Oreochromis niloticus: one gene and its partner. The main gene of each other region encodes a partner of the protein of the gene in region 2 in a complex. Links are inferred from orthologs where the notes say so. Each region holds a gene or a part of one and is shown on either strand. Other genes may lie near its edges.

What was found.
Region 1: the proteins of gins4 (region 2) and donson are in contact, whole or in part, in a cryo-EM structure (PDB 8Q6O), measured with the Xenopus laevis proteins. The link is inferred for Oreochromis niloticus from reciprocal best matches to the Homo sapiens genes GINS4 and DONSON. Residues at the interface, in NP_001084702.1 of Xenopus laevis: Leu19, Thr20, Pro21, Cys51, Glu54, Gln55, His58, Asn62, Arg65, Ala66, Lys67, Lys72, His76, Asn179, Leu181, Pro184, Thr186, Asp187, Glu188, Tyr192; in XP_041437004.1 of Xenopus laevis: Tyr8, Ser9, Pro10, Ser11, Phe12, Lys13, Pro15, Ser16, Ile18, Leu19, Ser22, Thr167, Arg168, Arg245, Arg469, Val471, Glu488, Thr490, Tyr518, Thr519.

The regions. Positions count from the first base shown.
Region 1 is NC_031986.2:3,396,902-3,407,425, forward strand, and holds the start of donson (protein downstream neighbor of son homolog), read right to left. Parts: upstream 4,601-10,524; 5' UTR 4,328-4,600; coding exon 3,905-4,327; intron 3,775-3,904; coding exon 3,700-3,774; intron 3,572-3,699; coding exon 3,371-3,571; intron 1,212-3,370; coding exon 1,033-1,211; intron 1-1,032. UniProt on the Homo sapiens protein: Replisome component that maintains genome stability by protecting stalled or damaged replication forks.
Region 2 is NC_031977.2:13,061,144-13,071,644, forward strand, and holds gins4 (DNA replication complex GINS protein SLD5), read left to right. Parts: upstream 1-5,872; 5' UTR 5,873-6,051; coding exon 6,052-6,150; intron 6,151-6,244; coding exon 6,245-6,331; intron 6,332-8,034; coding exon 8,035-8,148; intron 8,149-8,239; coding exon 8,240-8,337; intron 8,338-8,437; coding exon 8,438-8,526; intron 8,527-8,649; coding exon 8,650-8,740; intron 8,741-8,877; coding exon 8,878-8,974; 3' UTR 8,975-8,982; intron 8,983-9,317; 3' UTR 9,318-10,442; downstream 10,443-10,501. Other genes in the region: arid5a (AT-rich interactive domain-containing protein 5A), read left to right, coding at 635-732, 826-985, 1,074-2,255. UniProt on the Homo sapiens protein: Required for correct functioning of the GINS complex, a complex that plays an essential role in the initiation of DNA replication, and progression of DNA replication forks.

The sequences.
Region 1 (10,524 bases), on a different chromosome or scaffold from region 2:
CTAAGGTTTATTTTTTAGCACCTGGCGGCTCTTTTTTGCTTCTCATCCGTTAATACTCTGCATCTTTCACGTGACTCGTTTTATTTTGAAAAGCCTCAACAGGATCTTGAGCTTTATTGTGAAAGGTTTATGTGGAAAATAAACAAGCGGACACGCCGTGGTTTTACCGTCGTTGTTGCTAACGACAACGCATAAAAAACAAGCGCTTGTCCGTCAGTAGTGTGGTTATATTAAATATAAGAGAAAGAGAGAACTTTAAGAAATTAATATAGCCACTACAGTGACCATCAAAATGATGAAAAAATATTGCCGTAAACAGTTTATTTTGCGACACCACGAAACAAACGATAGCGTAAAATGAAACGATAGACGTTTTTCTATCGTCATCCGATATATATCGTTATATCGAACAGCCCTAGTGTGGCTGCTCTTACTTGGCCATGAAACACTTCACTGTACAAAGGTTCATTTAATGTGCAACCCTGCTGTGTGAGATTTAACACCATCTGTGAAGCTGGATTTAGGAAAGAAGTGTTTAAACATGTTTAGTGCTAGTACAGAACGTGATGTCACTGGGTCCGATGGTTAGCTGGTTGCTGCTAACAGACTGCGTTTGTGTTAGCTAACTGTGACAGAGCTGATAACTCGCTGGAAAAAAAAGTCCCTGAAACTAAAACACAGTCTAAGGAGGTCGTAACTTCCTTCTCTCTCTGACAGATATATTGGGGTTACTCAGCCTAACAATGACCTCTTTCACCTACATCTCTTCAGACCTCCAGTGTAAAGATCTCAAATCTTAGAATCAAGTTCAGGTTTTTTTTTTAATGATTCATTTATCAATAGGACATATCAGTGAAACCACCTGTCAGTCATAAAAATGACTGTAATTCCTAAACAAACAATATTTTTATTAAAATCCGTCGAGTTAAAGCTGAAAGTCTGTGATTCAATCACATCTTGATTCATTTAAAATCAGGACAGAGAGAAAAATGAAATCATTGCAGTTAAACCTTGTCACCCTATCAGCCTCACCATTCTGTCATGAGACTCTGCTGTAGCGTTGCATCATGAGCCCAGGGGGCGCTCTTGCCAAAGAAGCTCCTTTCAGCGTTGATCCTAGGGAACAGGGACAGCCAGGGTATGGAGGGATGCTGCCAGTAGACCAGGCTTTGCTGGAAGGCACAACGTAGCTCTGAGCAGGACCTGGGATCCTATAGCAGGCACAGAGACAGGTCGGGCTGAGGAACAAGCTACTGAAGAACCCAAGACAAACTAAGAGCTGTCGGGATCAGCATACTTTATTAATACTTAAGGAAATCATGTGGGTTACAGTTGCTCCAGTACAGTAACAATAACAGTAACAGGCGAGACTATTTAACGACACAATATGTTACAGATTTTACACATGTGTACTTAGTTCTATACTTCTGGAGCTGATTTGTTCACTCTGGTGCTCTTAAGCTGACGCACAGGACCAACCCATCCATTGTTTCCCTTTTATTGTCATCTGGTATTGACTAATAACAAATACACACATGCATTTTGTGTGATAAGCACAAGTATGAAAACCTAATGGTGAAATAACTAGTAGCTCAGTGTTCCAACATGCAGAAGAAGCAACTGCTATTGCAACTAGAGATTTGAAAGAGCAGCTGACCTGAGAGGTCTGATTACGAAGACTATGTGAAGTAGAGCTGGGCGATATGACCCAAAATTCATTTCTCGATATTCTTTAGCTGGATGACGAAATATATATCTCGATATTTTTTTAAAGCCATAAAGTAAGAACAAAAAGAGAGTTCTAAGTGAAAGCTGTGTCCCAGATCTCACACAGACACTTTTTTAACATACAGCATAGATGTACATGAAAAAATTACTACTTCAATAATAATATTACTCCAGAAATAAAATAAAACTGTTGTTTTTGTGCATAACAAAGAGCTCACAACTGTGCAGTCAAAATGTAAACTAACAGACGCTGAGCATAATAACATAGACAGATTTCACAGCTGCTCTGTTCCCAACTTCTACTGCGTGACTGACAGCCTGGAGTTTGAAATCCTCTTTGTAACCATGTCTCTGAACAGGAGCCATTTATGGTCCTTATACACACACAATACGGTAATATTACGTTGAAGCACAGTACGTATCACTCCGCGAGGCTCCTGACTACGGTAGCTGTAATCCTCCGACAATCCATCAAGCGGTGCAGCGCCGTAGCTTAGCAAAGTCGCACTAAAACATTTTTTGACAGATTGCTGAGCGCTGTGTATCACATAAAATCGGTTCGCAGTCAGTAAGCACAACCAGAATTCATACATAAGGCATACCGTCGATTTTTGAGAAAAAGAAAGGACTTTAGGCCGTGCAGCCCCCGTGCGATGTGAATGCAACATTACAGACAATCACCACTGTGGTCATCAATGAAACCAACCAACTGATCTACCCCACAACAGCAGTGATCAGTGAGATGTTTGGGAACAAGATGAGCACCCACAAGGAGCAGTACCCTCCATGGAGAAGGAAACTAGAGGCCAAGATCAAGGCAGCATAGAGGGAAGTATTGGAGCTGCAGAAAGGTGTGATGAAGAAAGGGATGTCTAAGAAGTACAGCAAGCTGGTCACACCTGAGGCCTTGGAAACTGCCAAGCAAAGACTCACAGCCTTGGCTAGCAGCTTGAAGAGGTACACCTGAGACATCGAAGCCATGAAAATCAAATCATCTGAGATGTGAGGTGCTGGAGATGGAGCAATATCGGAAGAGTATACAGCAGAAGCACACAACCCATGACAGCAATGCTCAGTGTTTAGTGGATCTACGGGCGAACCACAGCAGCCTCCCTGAACGGGATCCAGTAAGCATCACAGCGGCAGACATCCATGAAAGAGTCTCAAGCATGAAGCGTTGGGCAGCATCTGGCCCTGACATCATCCACGCCTACTGGCTAAAGAAGCTCATATATACAAAATCCCTACTAATGACAGTAGGGACCTGCAATTTTCATTGTTATTATAAATAATAATTATTAAGAAGCGTATCTTTGTTTTAGACTGAGACTCAGAATCATCAAACTGATCCAGGTTTGCATGGAAACTGTCACACTGATCATCTCTGCTATTCTGTGATATCATTTTTAATTTGGTTACAGAAAAAAAAATCTGGCTGAATAAAAAACAAGATTTTAGATTTAAACATCTGAAGTGGGTCTAAAATCGAAAAGTCGTGAAATTTTGAGGGCTCAACAAGTGCTGAAAAAAATATTTATTTGGAGAGCTGTAACTGGTGTCACTAGCGTCTCCATAGCAACATATAAATGCACAGTGACTATTGTGCGCCTGTCCATCTTCCACATGTATGCAATGAGCCTACCTGTGGACTGTGTGGCAGGGGACTGAACTGTGCCCTGCAGTGCTGGCTGAGCCCCTGAGCTTCTTCCTGAGCCTTGAGCTGCTCTGCCCATGAAAGGGAGACCGGAGAGGTCAGGAGGAGACGAGTCTTTAGGCTCCAGTCTGCTGGATACTGGGTGCACACAGGAGCTGCTACGGCAGTGGGAGCAGTGGCTTGGGGGCTCTAGAAGGACAGAGGGGAATCCTTTGAATACACGGTTATACACTGCACAACAGAAAACCTGGGAAAAAGTGACAATTCTCACAGATATGTCATTCAGCATTTAAAAAACACACAGAATAAATTCCCACCTTCAGCAGTGGGTTTTTAATATCCTCCGGTTCTTCTTCCAACAACACATCACTCTCAGACAGAGATCCAGATTTCTACAGCAGGACACAGACAAGAAAGGTAAGGCGTTTAAGAGGGGGTCCTATAGTTTCTCCCCTCATGTTTACATCTCTACCACATAAAAACAGGAGCTTCCTGACGACAGTGCAAAGGACCGAGACCAACCTGGCTGGAAGCTTGTCGGTATTCCTGTTCTTGTGCCTCATCGAGCCTGAAGCTGAGAGCCAGATCTAGCGTGCCTTCTCTCTTCGATGATTCTTCATCTCTCTCATTGTTTGCGATCCCGGAGCTATCGGAGTTTTCGGTGTTACAGCTGGCGTCGTTAAAAGTTAGACGTTTCTTCTTAGGACTGTAAGTGTTTTCTATTTTTGCGAACGGGTTCCTGCGTTTTATTCCAACCCCGAAATGGTTCTGGGCGCCGGAGAGCGGTTCGGGGGAGAAAGTCCGTACGCACGTCGGAGATGAGCCGCTTTGTTCGGGGCTGTCTGTGGACCCGGCCCCGGCTTCGCTTCGGGCTCTTTTGCGCCTCATTCGCAAAATTTCCGCAGGCCGCTTGAAGCTGGGTGAGTATCCAAAGTGTTCCGACATCCTGTGGAGATGCAGTTTGCCCCAAACAATCCACTTTTAGCGCTGTTTCCTTTAGAAAGGGCAGGACCCGCGGCTGTTTTTGTTTTGCGCTTTCTGCGCTGTACAAATTTGGCGCGTAGCGTGCTGACGTAAAGAGTCCCCGCGTGTTAATGGCTGTGAAGAGGTCGGAGCTAAACGGACGTCATTTGTTCACGTTTGTTTTTGTGACACGTTAAAAATAAATACATAATAATCTACAGAGTTAAGTGCAATTATTGTGTCTGTTGGAGCCTTTACTCATCGGGAACTTTGGACATTATGGTACGTCAGGATGTGACGTCGTATCGGGTTTTACTGCATTTGAATTGTATAATTTAAATTAACAATTTAATAATAATCAGAGACATATACAGAAGGAGATGTTGGAACAGTTTGGAAACTTGAGGGTTTGTAGAAAGAACTTTTCAGAAAAACACTAGTCAAAGTCTTGACTTCCGGCTTTGACTTCTTCTCTTCCTATGTCAGCGCTTATGTGGCGATATTGTCTTAGTGGCGACGCCTATCATCCAGGAGAATACTGCAGCGGCTATATATCATGACAGTGACGAGTACCGGCGGGACTTAGAGGGGACAAATTTAACGTCGCCAGCTTCGCATAGATCTACAAATGTAAGCTGCTTTCAAGTTCCAGTGTTAAACTGGGACATTTGGGCTTCCATTGTATACCTGCATTTTGTTTTCAGATGAAGTAGATTTTTTTTTTTTTTTAAAAACAAACAAACTTGAAAACGTGATTTATCATTGCAGACACTATACAGTAGCGTGTAAAGGTTAGTATATGGTTTAAATAATCTGTTGTTACATGCTGGACACTCTTCTGTGGGGAAAAGCCAGCCAGTGCTCAGCTGCAGATAGAGGGAACAACATGGTTGTATCATCCTCTCGAGTGAGTATAGTTCTCCTTTTCAAGATCAGCTGTATAAATTCGCTATAGGCTCCTCTTGTTCACGTGTATCTTTTATCAGTTTATTTATTCGTTTCTTTTTGTGTTGTTTCAGTTATTACATTATGTGTGGTATAGTATGACAACGTCTAAGGCAGGACAGTCAAGAGGAGAAATAAAAGGGAGAAGGAGGGAAGAAATAAGGGAAAATATAATAAAAGGATAGTGGCACGAGCCGAGAACAGGGTCCCAGGGCTCCAGGCGTCCAAGAATTGGCCAGCACCTGAGCCAGAGCCCCCTAACAAGGAAGAGGTCCAAGCCATCCCATACCAGCAAGGGAGCGGCTCAACAACCACACCAGAACATCCAGCCACGTGCTGTTGATCCCTCCCTTGGATGCTGCCCCTCCCTGCATCCCAGGTTGGGGCAGCATCATCCAGCGGAAAGCGGTAGGAAGAGGGAACCACTCCCTCCATGACCATGTCCCAAAGGGGCCAAGGCTCAGCAAGCCCCAGTTCCAGGTCCAGTCATGAGCTTACACTGGATTTTTGAGCTAGTATTTTGCACTGCTCTTACTGAAGTGCTTTTACTGCACCAATTGTTTATAAATTGCTCCACACTGCAGTTGTGACATCACAATAATTTGCCTCACTTAGTAAATCTGTCCCATGGCATATAAAATTAAATACATCTTATTTTCTTAGATTTTACTGTTGTGGTCCAGTTTAACCCGTTTCCTTCTTCCTGGTTAGAATTTCAAAATAGGCCAGGGGTCAAAAAGAGGAACACCAATGCCCTGTCCCTTCACGAGCTGCAGACTAATATAATCAGTGTTCTCACAATCGAGGTAAACAAGGCAAACAAGCTAGAAAACATGGTCCCAATATGATAGAAAAGCTTAAACATGACTAGTTTGTTTATGAAGAAATTAATGGCATTAACAAAAGAGAAAAACAAGCTCTTGAGAAAATATTCAAAAACAGCAAAGTGATATCAGTAACAGATTATCTGAAGCACAGTGCTACAAAAAATGATGGCGTCTGCATCTGTACGATGAGAATGAACAAGACAACAGGACGTGAGACAAAAAGTATCCTGATTCTGTCAGAAAGCTGCTACCGAGCTCAGACAGAAGGCAATGATTGATGTGACGCACACGCTGGGCAGACGAGCCATGTGCAATCATCATCCTCTGCTCTGTGAGAAACATCTGAAAGAGAGCAAACAACAGTTCCTTCCTGAAAGAGAAGAAGCTTCATTTTGGTGAGAAAGAGAGTGGTCAGAGCAGCGCTGTGGAAACAGCTTACATCCAAAGATTCTAGTACTCTGTCTATAATCACGTTTTGGTTGATTTAAGCAGAGCTTGAACTGAATATAAAGGAGGCAGAAATTTTTCCTGCTATTTTGAAAGACCACAAAATTGTGACACAGACACCAAATATCAGTAAGTGGCACAATAGAAGGGGTTAGGCTCAGACTAGCTCACTTCTGAAGAGCGAACAGCTCATATCAGATATAAAGGATCTTATAGGAAAGTCCTGGAATTTGGCCTCAACAAGTGATGAATGTGGAAAATACTGGGAATTTCTAAGGTTTTAAATGAGAAAGATAGCCATTGCATAAGCACATAAAAAGAGCTCAAAAATAGAAAAAATAATGATATTTCTGCTGTCAATTTACCAATTAAATGTATAGCTGCTCTCTTTAATGAAGCGATCTGTAAAAGAAGAACTGTCCCCGTCATTAAAGCAAGGACATCTCCCTTTAATTCCCCAAACCAACAAAGATCCTTTATGTTTTGATAACTGGAGACCAATTACACTCAACAATGATTATAAAATGACGATTTTCATATTAGCAAAGCGTTGAAACACTGATCCAAATAAAAGAATTCAGGAATCCCACTGTGGATTCATGAGTGGCATTCATATCTCAATAATATTCACCTGTTTTTGGAGCTAGTTAACTACAAATAATGGCTTGTTGGCAGTCACCTGATTTTATTCTTTATTCTCTACAGTTCTCCACAATTTTATCTTTAACCCTAAATTTTTTAAAATTTGATAACTTTTTTTTAATCAAAGCAATAAAGACCTTATCATCAGTGAAACTGCCATCACTCAGATTAAGAGGGGAATTTTATCATGGCCGTCCCATCTCTTCTTAGCGGTAAGCCAAAATCTAAACCTTTCAATAATCCACGATAAATTTAGTTGCATTATCTTTAAATGTACACAAGTCACTGTCACTGGGGTGACTGTAGCTCAGGAGGTAGAGTGGGTCACCTTAGTGGTTTGATCCCTGTTTGCATAAATAACCCCAAGCTGCTCTCTGAAGCATCCATTTGAGTACAAATGTGTGTGACTGTTAGATAAAAAGCATGTAAATATAAGAAAAAAGTGCTTGTATTAATGGTAAATGGACTGATATGGATAGTGCTTTTCCACTCTCTCAAACACAGTGACACAAATCAGGCTTAAACCTTAATTTAAATAATTTTGAAATTCTTGCTTTAAAAAACATTGCTAATACAGAAATATCCTAGTTAAAAATATTGTTAAATATTTGGGAGTTTTGATCCCAGTGGAGGACAAAAGCTTGATGGATGATAACATAGACCTGGTGATTTTATATGTTCGAATGAAATGTAGCTCCTAGCTGGCTAAAGACTTCCTCTTTATGTCAAAGTGGTGTTAAGCGAAGAAATAAGCTCCACAACATTTTTTCCCTTCATTTAATCAGATTATCAAAATTATTGGATCAAAATGTTTCTGAAAGATAATACGTGGATTTTTATCCTAAACTTCCTATTTAAAAAAGTAGGTGGTGTTAATGTTTTATGAATGTGCCCTGACCTTTCATAAACAGGTTGGTCCTTCCTACTACTGACTAACTACTGTCCTCGCAAATATTTTATATGGAACTGTCAATATCACATACAGAAACAAGTCAACAATATTTTACTGGTGAAACGTCTTTTTGATTGTGAAGGACTTCCATACTGAGGATTTTGTGCAGAAATACAGAGTTCTGGTCTCCAAACTCCAAATTCTCTACCTTCACTCCAGTTGCTGCGTCCGCACAGAGGGTGGCTTCACGAATTTCTTCAACATTGAGACCGGTGTGAGGCAAGGGTGTATCCTCTCTCCCTTCCTCATCCTTCTTGCCATTGACTTTGTTATGCGGAGTGCCATGGACCAAGATGCCTTTGGGATACCTTGGCATCCACCAGCACACCTGAAGGACCTCGACTTTGCAGACGACATTGCTTTGGTGGCTGACGTCCGGAAAAACATGACTACTATGACATCATGCTTGGCGCAAGAGGCACCCAAAGCAAGCTTATGGATCAGTGGAAACAAGACCAAGGTCATGAGGATAGGTTACGTGACAACACAGGACTCCATTACGGTAGGACTGCAACCACTGGAGGAGGTGAATCAATTCACCTACCTGGACAGCATCCTGGCAAGTAATGGAGATGCTGAGCATGATGTTGTGTGTCGAATTGTAAAAGCAGGTGCGGTCTTTCAGCGGCTCCGGCCGATCTGGTTGACCCCAAAGATCGTTCTGGCGACAAAGATTCGCCTGGTCAACTCCATCGTTATACCTACCGCAGTCTACACTTGTGAGACGTGGAAAACATCAGCCAGAATCACAAAAAGACTCCATGTGGCCCAGCAGCAATGGCTACGACGTATCCTGGGGGTCTCCTACTGGGACCATGTCACCAACGAAGAAGTACACCATCGAACTGCCACACGTCCCCTGCAGGACATTGTGACTGAGTGGCGTGTGCGCTTTGGAGGTCATGTTCTACGTCAACCCCCACATCGACTGCCCAAGATTGCCATCACATGGAACCCACCCCATGGAAGATGCAAACCAGGCCACCCCCGTACAACATGGCGGAGGACCTTCATCGATGACTTACGCACCATAGACATTGCATGGGATGAGGCCGAAGCAGCCACAGCCGATCGAATATGTTGGTGGACGCTTGCCGCCCAATGCGTTGAACGGCGCAGGAGGACCTAAGTCTAAGTAAGTAAAAGTAAAGGTCTCCAAAGAGGAGATCACATACTAAATATATTAATATATAAAAAAAGATCTATTTAAAAATATTTGTTAAAGCTTAAAAGAGTATGAATATGTAAGATTTCCATGGGAGTGCAGAGGATCCTCTTTCACAGCATATTTTATATCTAAAGAGACTTTTAATACAACATATTTTAAATGTCCAGTACATGAAAATAAGATGCCATTCCAGCAGTGTTAGTTTGTCCCACTGTTGGCAGTAAAACAGGGCTGTTAGTTCACCCCTGAGTCTTCACTATAAACCACAGGACTATCACACTTTCACTCAGGCATCACCAGAGTACACAGACCAGAGTTTTCCTCAGTACTTTCATTTTGATTCACCCATGGTTATCATGCCAAAAGGAAACTATACCAAGTTCATACTCACACTTGTATAATAAATACTGTGTGAGGATCTAAACATATTCTACGCTAGATTCGACACAGCGAACACCATGAGACCGGACAGTGTGCGCACCGCGGATGACGTCAGCGCGCACACTGTGTCTGAGGAGGATGTGCGGAAGTGCTTCAGGAGGGTGAACGCACGCAAAGCTACTGGTCCGGACGGGATTCCCGGCTGCGTCCTCAAGTCATGCGCGGCTCAGCTGGCTGGAGTGTTTACACACATCTTCAACCTTTCCCACTCTCTGTCTGTAGTCCCAGCCTGCTTCAAAATGGCCACCATCGTCCCTGTACCCAAATCCTCCACCATCTCCTCATTGAACGACTGGCCCTGACCCCCATCGTCAGCAAATGCTTCGAGAAGCTGGTCAGGGACTTCGTTTGCTCTTCACTACCCGACTCACTGGACCCTCTACAGTTCGCATACCGCCACAACAGGTCCACTGATGATGCCATAGCCTTGACACTCCATGCTGCCCTGTCACACCTGGAGAAGAGAGACACGTATGTGAGAATGCTGTTTGTAGATTACAGCTCAGCATTCAACACCATCGTTCCCTCGAAGCTGGACAGGAAAATGCAGGATCTAGGACTGAGCAGCTCCCTCTGCAGCTGGATCCTTAACTTCCTGTCTGACAGACGCCAAGTGGTCAGACTGGGCAGCATCACCTCATCCCCCATCACACTGAACACTGGTGCTCCACAGGGGTGTGTACTGAGCCCTCTCCTGTACTCACTCTACACCTACGACTGCACGGCCACTAACAACTCCAACATCATTGTGAAGTTT
Region 2 (10,501 bases):
GTCCAAGCACCTGAGGTACAAAAATGAATAAATTAATTCACACAAGCGCTGTCTGCTAGGTGTTACTCTGGGTCAAGTCTCTGACTTGGACCTTTTAATCACGCTGTTGCTGCCTTGGTATGTTACACAGAACTAATACAGGGGTGGACAATTAACTTTTCCAAGGGGCTCCATGATAAACTGGGACTTCTGTGGAGGGCCACACCTTCACCCGAGTCCTATTTTTAGCCCGCCCTTTCAAAGAATTAATATCGAGCAGAACTGACTCCACCTTATTGGTGAATTCCTTGTTTCTCAGTTTCTAATATACCCCCTTGGGAAAATGAATTGCCCGTGCACTAACAAGTGGCAGTGCACGCATACCTGCACAGATGGCACTCAAGCATGTTGTTAACTGTCCATCCTCTTGCCCAATTGTGATTTTAATTCTGTCTCCAAAAATAAATAAATACAAAATTGAGGATTTATGGTTTGAATGGACCAGTAGGTGGTTACATCCATCTTTTATATACAGGCTATGGTTTCATGATAGAAACAGCATAAAAATAGGATACCAGATACTGCCATCCTAGTGGGAACAGTTTAAATAGTGTAATGATTTTTAACTCTTATACACGTTCATTTTTGTCAACAGGTGACAGCACGACGCCTTTGGAAGAAAGTCTACGATGAGCTGGGAGGAAGCCCCGGTAGCACCAGTGCAGCTACTTGCACTCGCAGACATTATGAGAGGTGAGGATGACTCTGTTTCTCAAGAACCTTTTTTGGTTCAAACACTATAAGATCAGCTGAGACTCAATTTAAACTGTGCTGCTTATGTGACAGGCTGGTGCTTCCCTTTGAGAGGCATATAAAAGGAGAGGAAGACAAACCCCTGCCTCCAAGCAAACCACGAAAGCCATACAAGAGAAATTTGGATGGCAAGATGACTAAGGCAGAAGGGAAGAGGAAAAGAACTCATTCAGATAGAGACATTGATTCAGAGGTAACAAATTATAACTCTGACAAAACACCTAATAGAGAAGTGTTTGATATATTGTGTTCTAAAATCCCTCCTCCTCTATGCCTTTCAGTTACTCACCCAGAGAAGTCCAGAATCTTCCTGTCAAAGCGAAGCAGTAATTCATCCTCACTCTGCTCTCTGGGCTGACAGACACCACACTGAGCCAAACAGAGCAGCCAGTAATGTCTGCCCTTCTGTTTACCTTCTCCCCACATCCAACCCGTGGATTGCTCAATTACCGACTGCAGCCGGAGAGGTCATCTCTCCTCTGGAGAAAAAAAAGCGAATGGCTCAGGCTAGCCTCAATTTGCCGCCCAGTTCTCAGAGCGAGGATAAAGAAAGGCCCTCCGTCATCCACTGCTCCCAGTCTCCAGCCAGGGCTTCTTCCAGCAGAAACTGCAACTCCTCTGATGGCTCCCCACTCCCTTTATCCTCCTCCTCTTCCCGCAGCCCCTCCCCTTACTCTGTTTCATCAGAGGAAGGTCCAGCAGGAGGTGAAGATAAAGCTGCATCAAGCTCAGAAATGTCCCAAAATGCTTCTGTCAAAAATCCATCGGGCTGCAGTGAGGATAGCAAGACTGTTAGTAAGACACACAAAGAACCTAAAGGACAGAATAAGGATGTTTCTCAAATCGGCTCTGACTCGATTAAAAACCAAGTTAACTGGAAGTCCAACAAAGGAGCAAGTAAACATTACCCTCTTCCTTTCCAATTACCCACCTCATACTCTGTGAAATCTGTCTGGGCTCCAACATCTACCTCTAGCTTCACCAAAGTTATTCCAAAACCTGGCAATGTTCTACGACCCACTCCAGTTCGGCCAAGTTACAAAAACCACACGGGCAGGTTGCTTCAGCAAGACGACTCTCTGACTTGTGCAAAGAGGATGTCTATGTGGTCCTGTCAGACAGAGAAGAGAGAGAAATCCAGGACAATGCAACAGAAAGTTCCTCCCGCTCAGCAGAGCCTGTCCTATTCCGCCGCCACCCTGCCATTGCCCTGTGTCCTGTCAGGCTATGAGAAAACAGCCAGAGACTCCAGGCACCAACCTCCCCTGCACCCTTCATTTATCCCCAACAGAATGAGACTACCTCCCTCTCAGCTAATGTACCGCAATGTGCCAATGGGTCCACCTCCCTCTGCTCTCATCGGATCTGCTCTTTACTCTTACCCCTACCCCATTCCTCTGTTAAATCCCCAAACTGCATATGCCATTCCTGCCATCAATCCCATTTACCCTCAAAAGTTGTGAGAAAATCACAATGATAATCACAAAACAAGACAGTGGGTTGTTGCTCAGTGGAGTATTGTTGAGGCCTCCTTACATATGTTTTAAACATTAAAAATTTTCAAGTTATTCCTGCTGAGTGACTGTATGGATCCTGGGGATGAAGTCCGAGCAGTGATATCTACAAATATTTATAGGAGCCAATGAATCATGTTGAAGACTTGCTGTCCAAGTGCACCTGAGTGGTGTACTACTTAAAAAAAATTACAATATGCAATATGTCTTTAGCTGCTACACTAGGGTCAAATAATGTAATCTGTATAATATAAATTTTGGAAAAACAGATTACCATCGGTTATTTTCAGTTTTGATTTCTTTAGATTTTATGTAGTAAATGTTAATGATATGGTGTTATGATTATTAAAATGAATTTTATATTCAATTCAGGTCAAAATGAATGCGATATTAACCTCCTAGGACCTGCCGTCCACATATGTGGACATCACATTTTTGGTTATTTTGACCAAAATACTCAATTTTGCTTTACATGGGCCTGATATCCACTTACGAGGACATTATACTGCTACTGTTCTATCAAAATTTTAAATGAATATCCTCATTTGTGGCTCTCATTTTTCTTAAAAACAAAAATAAGGTAAAAAAAAAAAAATCTGGAAATTCTTTGTTTTTACATTCATTGGGCCCCAATATGCCCAAATATCAAAGAGAAATTAAAAATGCATGTCGTGGAACAGTTCGGGTCTTAGGAGGTTAAGGTTATCGTCAATTGCACAGTTTCAGTATTTTGTTTTTGAAAACAAAAAACTGTCTAATGTTTCTTAAAGTACTGTAGTTATGTCTGAAGATTATTATTATTTTGAATGAATGTTGGTCAGTGTATGATATTAAAAAAAAATTATCTATATTGTTCTCATGTTATTCAAGTGTATTTAAACAAAAGACTAAAGCAGCCAACAAATAAAGAGAAAACATGAAAACATCTTTGTTCTTTTTGTTCAGTTCAACAGTTCAATCACAGCACTGTAGGATGGTGAAAGATGAAAGCTTTAGCATTAGGCCCTCTCCTCAGCCTTCTTGATATGATGTTCTTCTGCTTCCCTGGCCGCTGTATCTGTGGGGATGCTGTTCGCTCTTTGTCGTAGCGTCCTGATGACACACAGTTTGTGCTCCAGTGAGTGATGAGAGTCAAACCTTAAATACTTTACGTTACCCATCATTTTTTTAAATGTCCCCCATTACTGATGGAAATCTCACAGTCTAAGAAGGCTGTCATTTTTCATATCCTCCCTGGTGAACTTGACGTGTTTCTCCACCGAGTTAATGTGATCAGTGAATTGTGGTACGTCCTGAGATTTGATTTTCAACCAGGTGTCATCCACATACCTGTACCAACGACTTGGGCGTGTTCCAGGGTAGGATAACAGAGCCCTGTTTTCCACTTCTTCCATGTACAAGTTGGCCACAATGGGTGAAACTGGGGAACCTATGGCACACCCATGTTTCTGCCTGACCCTTGTATGTGAAATAGGTGGAATGAAGACACAGTTCCAAAAGCAAACACACTTGGGCGGTGCTGAGAGTGGACCTGTTGCTGAGGTTGGGGTCATCCTGTAATCTCTTACAAACTACATCCACTGCTTCAGGGACTCGAACACAAGTGAAGAGAAACATAACATCATATGAGACCATTGTTTCATCTGCCTCCATAATGACATCTCTAAGCTTCTCAACAAAATTCAAAGTGTTCTGGATGTAGCGCTTAGAGCTGCCTACCAACGGGTTGAGGATCGAAGCCAGAAACTTTGAGATGTTATACGTGACTGAGTTGATCATGCAGACAATTGGTCTAAAAGGTACGCCCTTTTTTTGTATCTTCGGTAAACCATACAGACTTGGTGTAGCTTCCCCTGGGTGTAGCCTGTGGTATGAGGTCTGGTCAGCAGCATTGTCTTAATCTAAGTGCTTGACACATTCTATGACCCTTTTCCTGTAACCACTACCTGTGTCTCGATTCAGAGCCTCATAAGTATTTTTGTCAGTGAGCAGTGACAAATTCTTCTCAATATAGTCTTTCTGTTATTTGTGTTTGCTGATGTGCATTAAGGAAACTGCAGCTGTCTGAGGCATGTGGTGAGAGCTGCAACCTTGCAGGTCTGATGTAGTCCAGATAAGTTCAAAGGATGCTGATAGCGTGCAACACTGAACATCACTATGGTGGCTGCAGTGCAGGGAAAAAATATGAAAGAACTTTGAAGCAAGTGCAATGAGGAGTGACGAGAAGGAGCAAATAGGACAAATGAGATACTGCAGTAAGGCTGTCTGAAAGAGCTGCAATGAGTGAAGCAGATGATCTCTGAATTCACACTAATGAAACTGCAGATTAAGAGCCCAGATAACATGTAGATCTAGCTCCCAGATTGGATTTTGAAGACAGAAACCATCTCTACTTTTAAGATTAGGTTTAAAACTTTCATTTTTTGATAAAGTATATAGTTAGGGCTGGATCAGGTGACCCTGAACCCTCCCTTAGTTAAACTGCAATAGGCCTAAGCTGCTGGGGGGCTTCCCATGATGCAATGAGCATTTCTTCTTAACTCAACTCTATTCACACTCTGTGTGTTTATATGCTGCTTTGTATTTAATCATTAGTTATTTTTAATCTCTGGCTCTTTTCCGCAGTGTCGTTTTTGCTTCCTCCCTCCCCACTCATCCCCGACCACTCACGGCACGGCCTCCCTGAGCCTGGTTCTGCCTGGGGTTTCTTCCCATTAAAAGGGAGCCGCTTGCTCATAATGATTCATCTGATTGTTTGAGTTTCTTTTTATTGGTTTAGAGTCTTTGCTTTACAATACAAAGCACCTTTACTGTTTACTGGCAACTGTTGTTTTGGCAATTAAATTTTATCAAATTGAATGACATGCTGACTTAGGAAATCAAACTGACTTCTACGGCATCAGTTATTTCTTTGTGTGTTTGTAATAATCACAATCTTTTGGTATTTCTTGAGTGAATATGCCGTACCCTGTGCTGTCACTGTCTTTTATATAGTGTCTATTATATTATGTCTATTAGTGGTATAGGAAACATTTCTATGAGGTTTTTCTAGATCATAATTAATGCTTGAGTTATATATTTGATAGTATTAGCAGTAATTATCTGTAAATATATAAAATATATAATAAATCTATATAAAGATATCTCTCGCAATATAAGCACAATAACATAACCACTAATTATGATGCGTGAAAACGCCATAGAAATGCTTCTCCCACCACTTTCTACCACTCTAGCATTACTTACAACAATCTTCAGCAACATGCAATATTTTGAGTGTATTGCTCGTATTCACAGCACGTGTTATATAGATTAGATTCCCTCAGTTTTGTATTTCAGGAAAAACCGGGCTCATTGAACTTTTAAAGTTTGCGCTCCTGTAGCAGAAAATCCTCAACATCCCCGATCAATATCCTTCCTGAATGTCTAGAAACTAATTTACTGTCTTTTATTGAATGCTCCGTCCAATTATTAATAAAAACTATACTAAGCCTACGAGAAGGCTTGCCTGACAAGCTAAACTCAGGTAAATGGGCACATTGTAAATCTCGCGAGAAGAATCCCAGTGGCGCGAATAAACAACGAGTTTTTCCGCTAACTTGTGGCTGCTGTGACAGTAGTAGTCGCATTGGTACATTTTCCCTCATATTATTCAGTTTTAATTGCTCTGTTTTTATTATTAATTTATTTTTAATTCAAGAGATATTCTGCGTTTTGGTGAAACGTTGTATTTTTACTGAAAACCATGTCGGACGCTTTGTCTGATGACGGCAGCGACTTCAACCAGGATGACACCCAGGAGGATGTTATGACCCCGGCGGAGCTGATCGCTAAACTGGAAGAAGTAGGCCAGATTATTCCCCTGACGTGCAGACTCTTCACCTCTATTAGATATTCAGCACCGTCTTCACTGTTGTGTCCGTGTGTGTCGCCCACAGGCTTGGCTAAATGAGAAGTTCTCACCGGAGCTGCTGGAGAACAAATCAGAGGTGGTGGAGTGTGTGATGGAGCAGCTGACTCATATGGTAAACTACCCGGGGAATACCTCCTGCGGTGTGGGTTGTTTCTAATGTTCAGCAGCATGCATGGTTATAGTTGAGTTTCTGAATTGCAAAACAGCAACTGAAACGCGAAGGACTGCAACCTATGAGAATGTGCATGACTGATTCAAATGCAGCAGAGGGAAAACTATATACAGTACTGTGCAAAAGTCTCGAGCCACCTCTCACTTCTTTATGTTTTGCTATGATGTAGTGAAATTGACATGCAGAATGTAAGGCAAAAGAGTTGGTACAATTCTAATGAGCTTGAAAGTCCATATTCCGTATGACCACCTTTATGTTATACACAGCCTGAACTCTCTCGGGCAAGCTTTCTTGTAATTTCTTTAAGTAATCTTCAGGAATTGTTCTCCAGACTTCTTAAAGGACATTAAAAGCTCTTTGATGTTGGCTGCCTTTTGTTCTGTTCTCTGTCAACATGATCCCACACTGCTTCAATAATGTCGAGGCCAATCCATGACTGATAGTGTTCCACTGTGTGGGGTTTTTTTTTTTGTTTTTGTTTTTTATGTTTGGGGGGTTTTTTTTGTTTTTTTTCCCCATCCAGGTATGCTTTTACTGCATTGGCAGTGTGTTAGGGATCATTGCCATGCTGAAAAATGACTTGTTCAGAAAAGAACCTGTCCAGTTTGCACAATTTTATTTAATGGCACACATGCTGAGATATACCAAGCTGATTCTCAATGGTTAGTAGCTCAGTGAGAATCATCTTGTTGGTGTAGAAATATAATTTCATACCTGTAAAATGTTTTTTTTCTTTGGCATTTTTAATAGATTCAACTAAAGGATTGAAAACAAAGAATGTGTTTTTTGCTACAGGCTCCCAGTAGCAAAGTCCCTAAAGTAACACGTTAAAATAGCTTCTTTGCTAAGTTGTCTGTTGTTTTTGTAGACGCATTACTGGCTTTTCCTTCGAATTCGGTACCTTTTCGTGCTCGGATGATTCATAGGTCAATGTTAAGTGTCTTAACAAACAACAAACAAAAGTAGGTGCATTCCACCTCTTCTAAACTGTGAATTTTGCTTTTTTTTAACCCATAAAAAGCAAAGGTTTGTAGAAAAATACCCATTACAATTCACTAGAGCTCAAAATGCCACTTTATACACACAAATTAATTTATTTTTCAGTTGGAGTTTAAAGAAAGTAATTTACTTTTCAGTGGGTCAAAAAACATCATCAAATGTTCAAAATATAGAAGTTGAATTCGGGAATATCTGAGATTTCTGCTTTTTGTTCATTTACTTGAATTATTACAAAAATGTTTTAATTTCTTCTGTCACCTGACAGATCAGCACTTCATTGCTGGTTTTCTTATGATTTAGTTTTATTAGTATGGATAAATTGATCTATAGGAAGACCTGCAATTGATATCAAGACTTTGATGGTCATGTCAAATGTAATGTGGTGGCTTCAAAATAAAATCTCAAACAATTCAGGGCAATGTGGTTTGCTCTGTGGCAAACTACTATCTAAAGCTGCTGCCTGTCAGTAGGACCTTGATTACATTACTATACATCCAGCTGTGGAGATTCATTCAGTTCAGATGATTAGGATGGTATTAACACTGTGATATTCAAACATATCCCAGGGCTGTTGCTTTTCTGGTCATTCTGAGTAGACCTGAATAAAAGGACCCTTTAATTTCTGACAGTTTTGTCACCAACAGGAGTCCAACTTGCAGCGGGTGAAGAAAGGCGATGCAAAGGCCAGCATCCATCGCATGGAAATAGACAGGATCCGCTACGTTCTCAGCAGCTACCTGCGCTCTCGTCTGCAGAAGGTCGGTTGGGTCAGCGCCACAAAACTGAGTTTTGTCTCACTTGGTGGCTGTTGGTGACATATGCCTCCCCTTTTGTGCTGTTTATGTCTAGATTGAAAAGTATTTCCCACATGTCTTGGAGAGAGAGAAGTCTCGGGGTGAGGGCGAGCCGTCTCTGCTTTCGCCTGAGGAGTTTGCTTTTGCCAAAGAGTGAGTGTGCTGGAATAAAGTCGTTTAAACCGCTGCGGTTCTTGCAACACTTGGGGTTTTTAAAAAAAAAAAATCACACGCCAACACATCTGGCTTGCAGGTATTATGCCAACACTGAAAGCTACCTAAAGGCTGTAGCACTGAAGCGCATGCCATCCAACTTACAGACTGTGGATATGATCAAAGCAGGTAAGGTGTCATTCTGTGTCTAAAATGGTGATACTATTAGCCCATGTAGACAGATGGTGACGTTTGCTGTGACATTTTCACTGACCATTGCACTCGTTTCACCACTGTGTATCCTAATGTTAGTGCCTGAGCCCTGCCTGGACTCCTTTGTGTTTCTGCGAGTGAAAGAGAGACAGGAAAACATCCTGGTAGAGCCTGAAACGGAGGATCAGAGGTTTGTTTGTCAATATTTCTCTTTATGTGCTATTATTTAGGCATCCAGTAGGTGGCAGTGTTGCCTTCTTGCATTCACTAACCTTTTTCTGTATAGATACTAAACTGATAAAATCTCCACTGTGTCTCTTCTATCAGAGAGTATGTCGTGGATCTCGACGAGGGCTCTCAGCACCTAATGCGTTATCGAACTATAGCTCCACTTGTGTCAAGCGGAGCTGTGCAGTTGATATGAATGAAAAGGTCAGTACCAGCGAGCCTTGACTGAGCCATCTTTGTCATTAACTCAATACTGCCCTCACACCCTCTTCTACAGGCATCTAATAATTCATTTCTGCAGCTCTTACATAAGCCGTGGCTTTGCGGTGACATCTGGATTTATTTTTAGCGCTTACTTTTTTCTCTTTCCTTTTTTCCCTTTTTGAGTGTTCATTGTCTCTTGGCAACAGATAATAAAAAACCAACATTGAAATTTTAAAGCACCATGATGTGTTTACAACAAATTTTAGTTGTCTTCTCTAAACTAAACTACAGTTAACAGTCAAGTGCAATTAATATTGGTCTTTTATATGTTGCAGGTTGCTTATTACTGTGGATCCAGGAGACATTCCTGAAATAAAGACTGCGCAGAGATCACATCAGGAAGCATGCCCTTCATCCTCACCTTTCATCCAGAATAAGGACTGACTTTTAGGATGTAAATATAGGGACGTTTGTAGCACCATGGCACCAGAATTTAATTCTGTGGGGGTGGGGGGACACAATCGAGGTCACTGCCAGCGGGAACTAAAAGCTGCGGATGAACCCTGTTTACTAAACTAGGTTTTTGCAGCGCTGAGTTTGTATTTTTGGATCTTTTTAATCATGTCATGATATATGCTTTGTTGTGTAGTACGTTGGTGTGCGTGTGACTGATAAAGACAGCTCTGTCTAATCTGTTTATTCATTACTCCTCATGTTGCTCCATCCAAATGATTCATGTTATTGGATGATTTCTCAGCTGCTCGATAACCGGATGCATCAGATGACCCGACGGTGAAATTTCATCAGTTCACTTGGCATCATAACGCCTTCCATCCCGAGGTGCTCATGCTAGATGTGCATGCATCTTTGCAAGATCAGGGTTTGTTTGCTGTGATTTAAGGACATTCACACTTGAATTAACATGCTTTAATGTCATAGATTATCCTGTTAATGCTCATGTAGCTGTTGTACATCGTGACATTATTCTTTTTCACATGTTGAAAGTTTCCTTTTTGACTTTGCTTTAAACTTTAACCTAAAAGATGTTATGATAGCATTGTTATGTAAGTGTTTCAGCGGGAGCAATCAGTGCTTATTGTTTGCCTTCACATAAATTCACCAGTAATTAGAACTAACAATGGATTGAAAGAGTGGGCTTAGCAACACAGAGTAATCAAGACGACTGTCTAACTCTTAAACTGCATTCATAGAAGACCTGGAGAAGAAATGTTACTTGATGTTCTGATTAATGTCATATAGTGTGTGCCTTGACCTGGTAAAATCAGGAACAAATCAAGTTGATTTGGATGTCTGATAGCATACAGTGTGGTTTTGAGGGGAACGGGCCTGTTATTATTCCTATTAAAATGTTGGAAAATAAAATAAATATTCCCTCAGGCATCGAAGATAGTTTGAAATGTGAGTTGGAGAAAAAATAAAATGATTGTGAAAGAATTGCATTTATTAAACACTACACCATTTTTTTAGGCTTTGTAGAATCTTGACATTTGTACCAGTT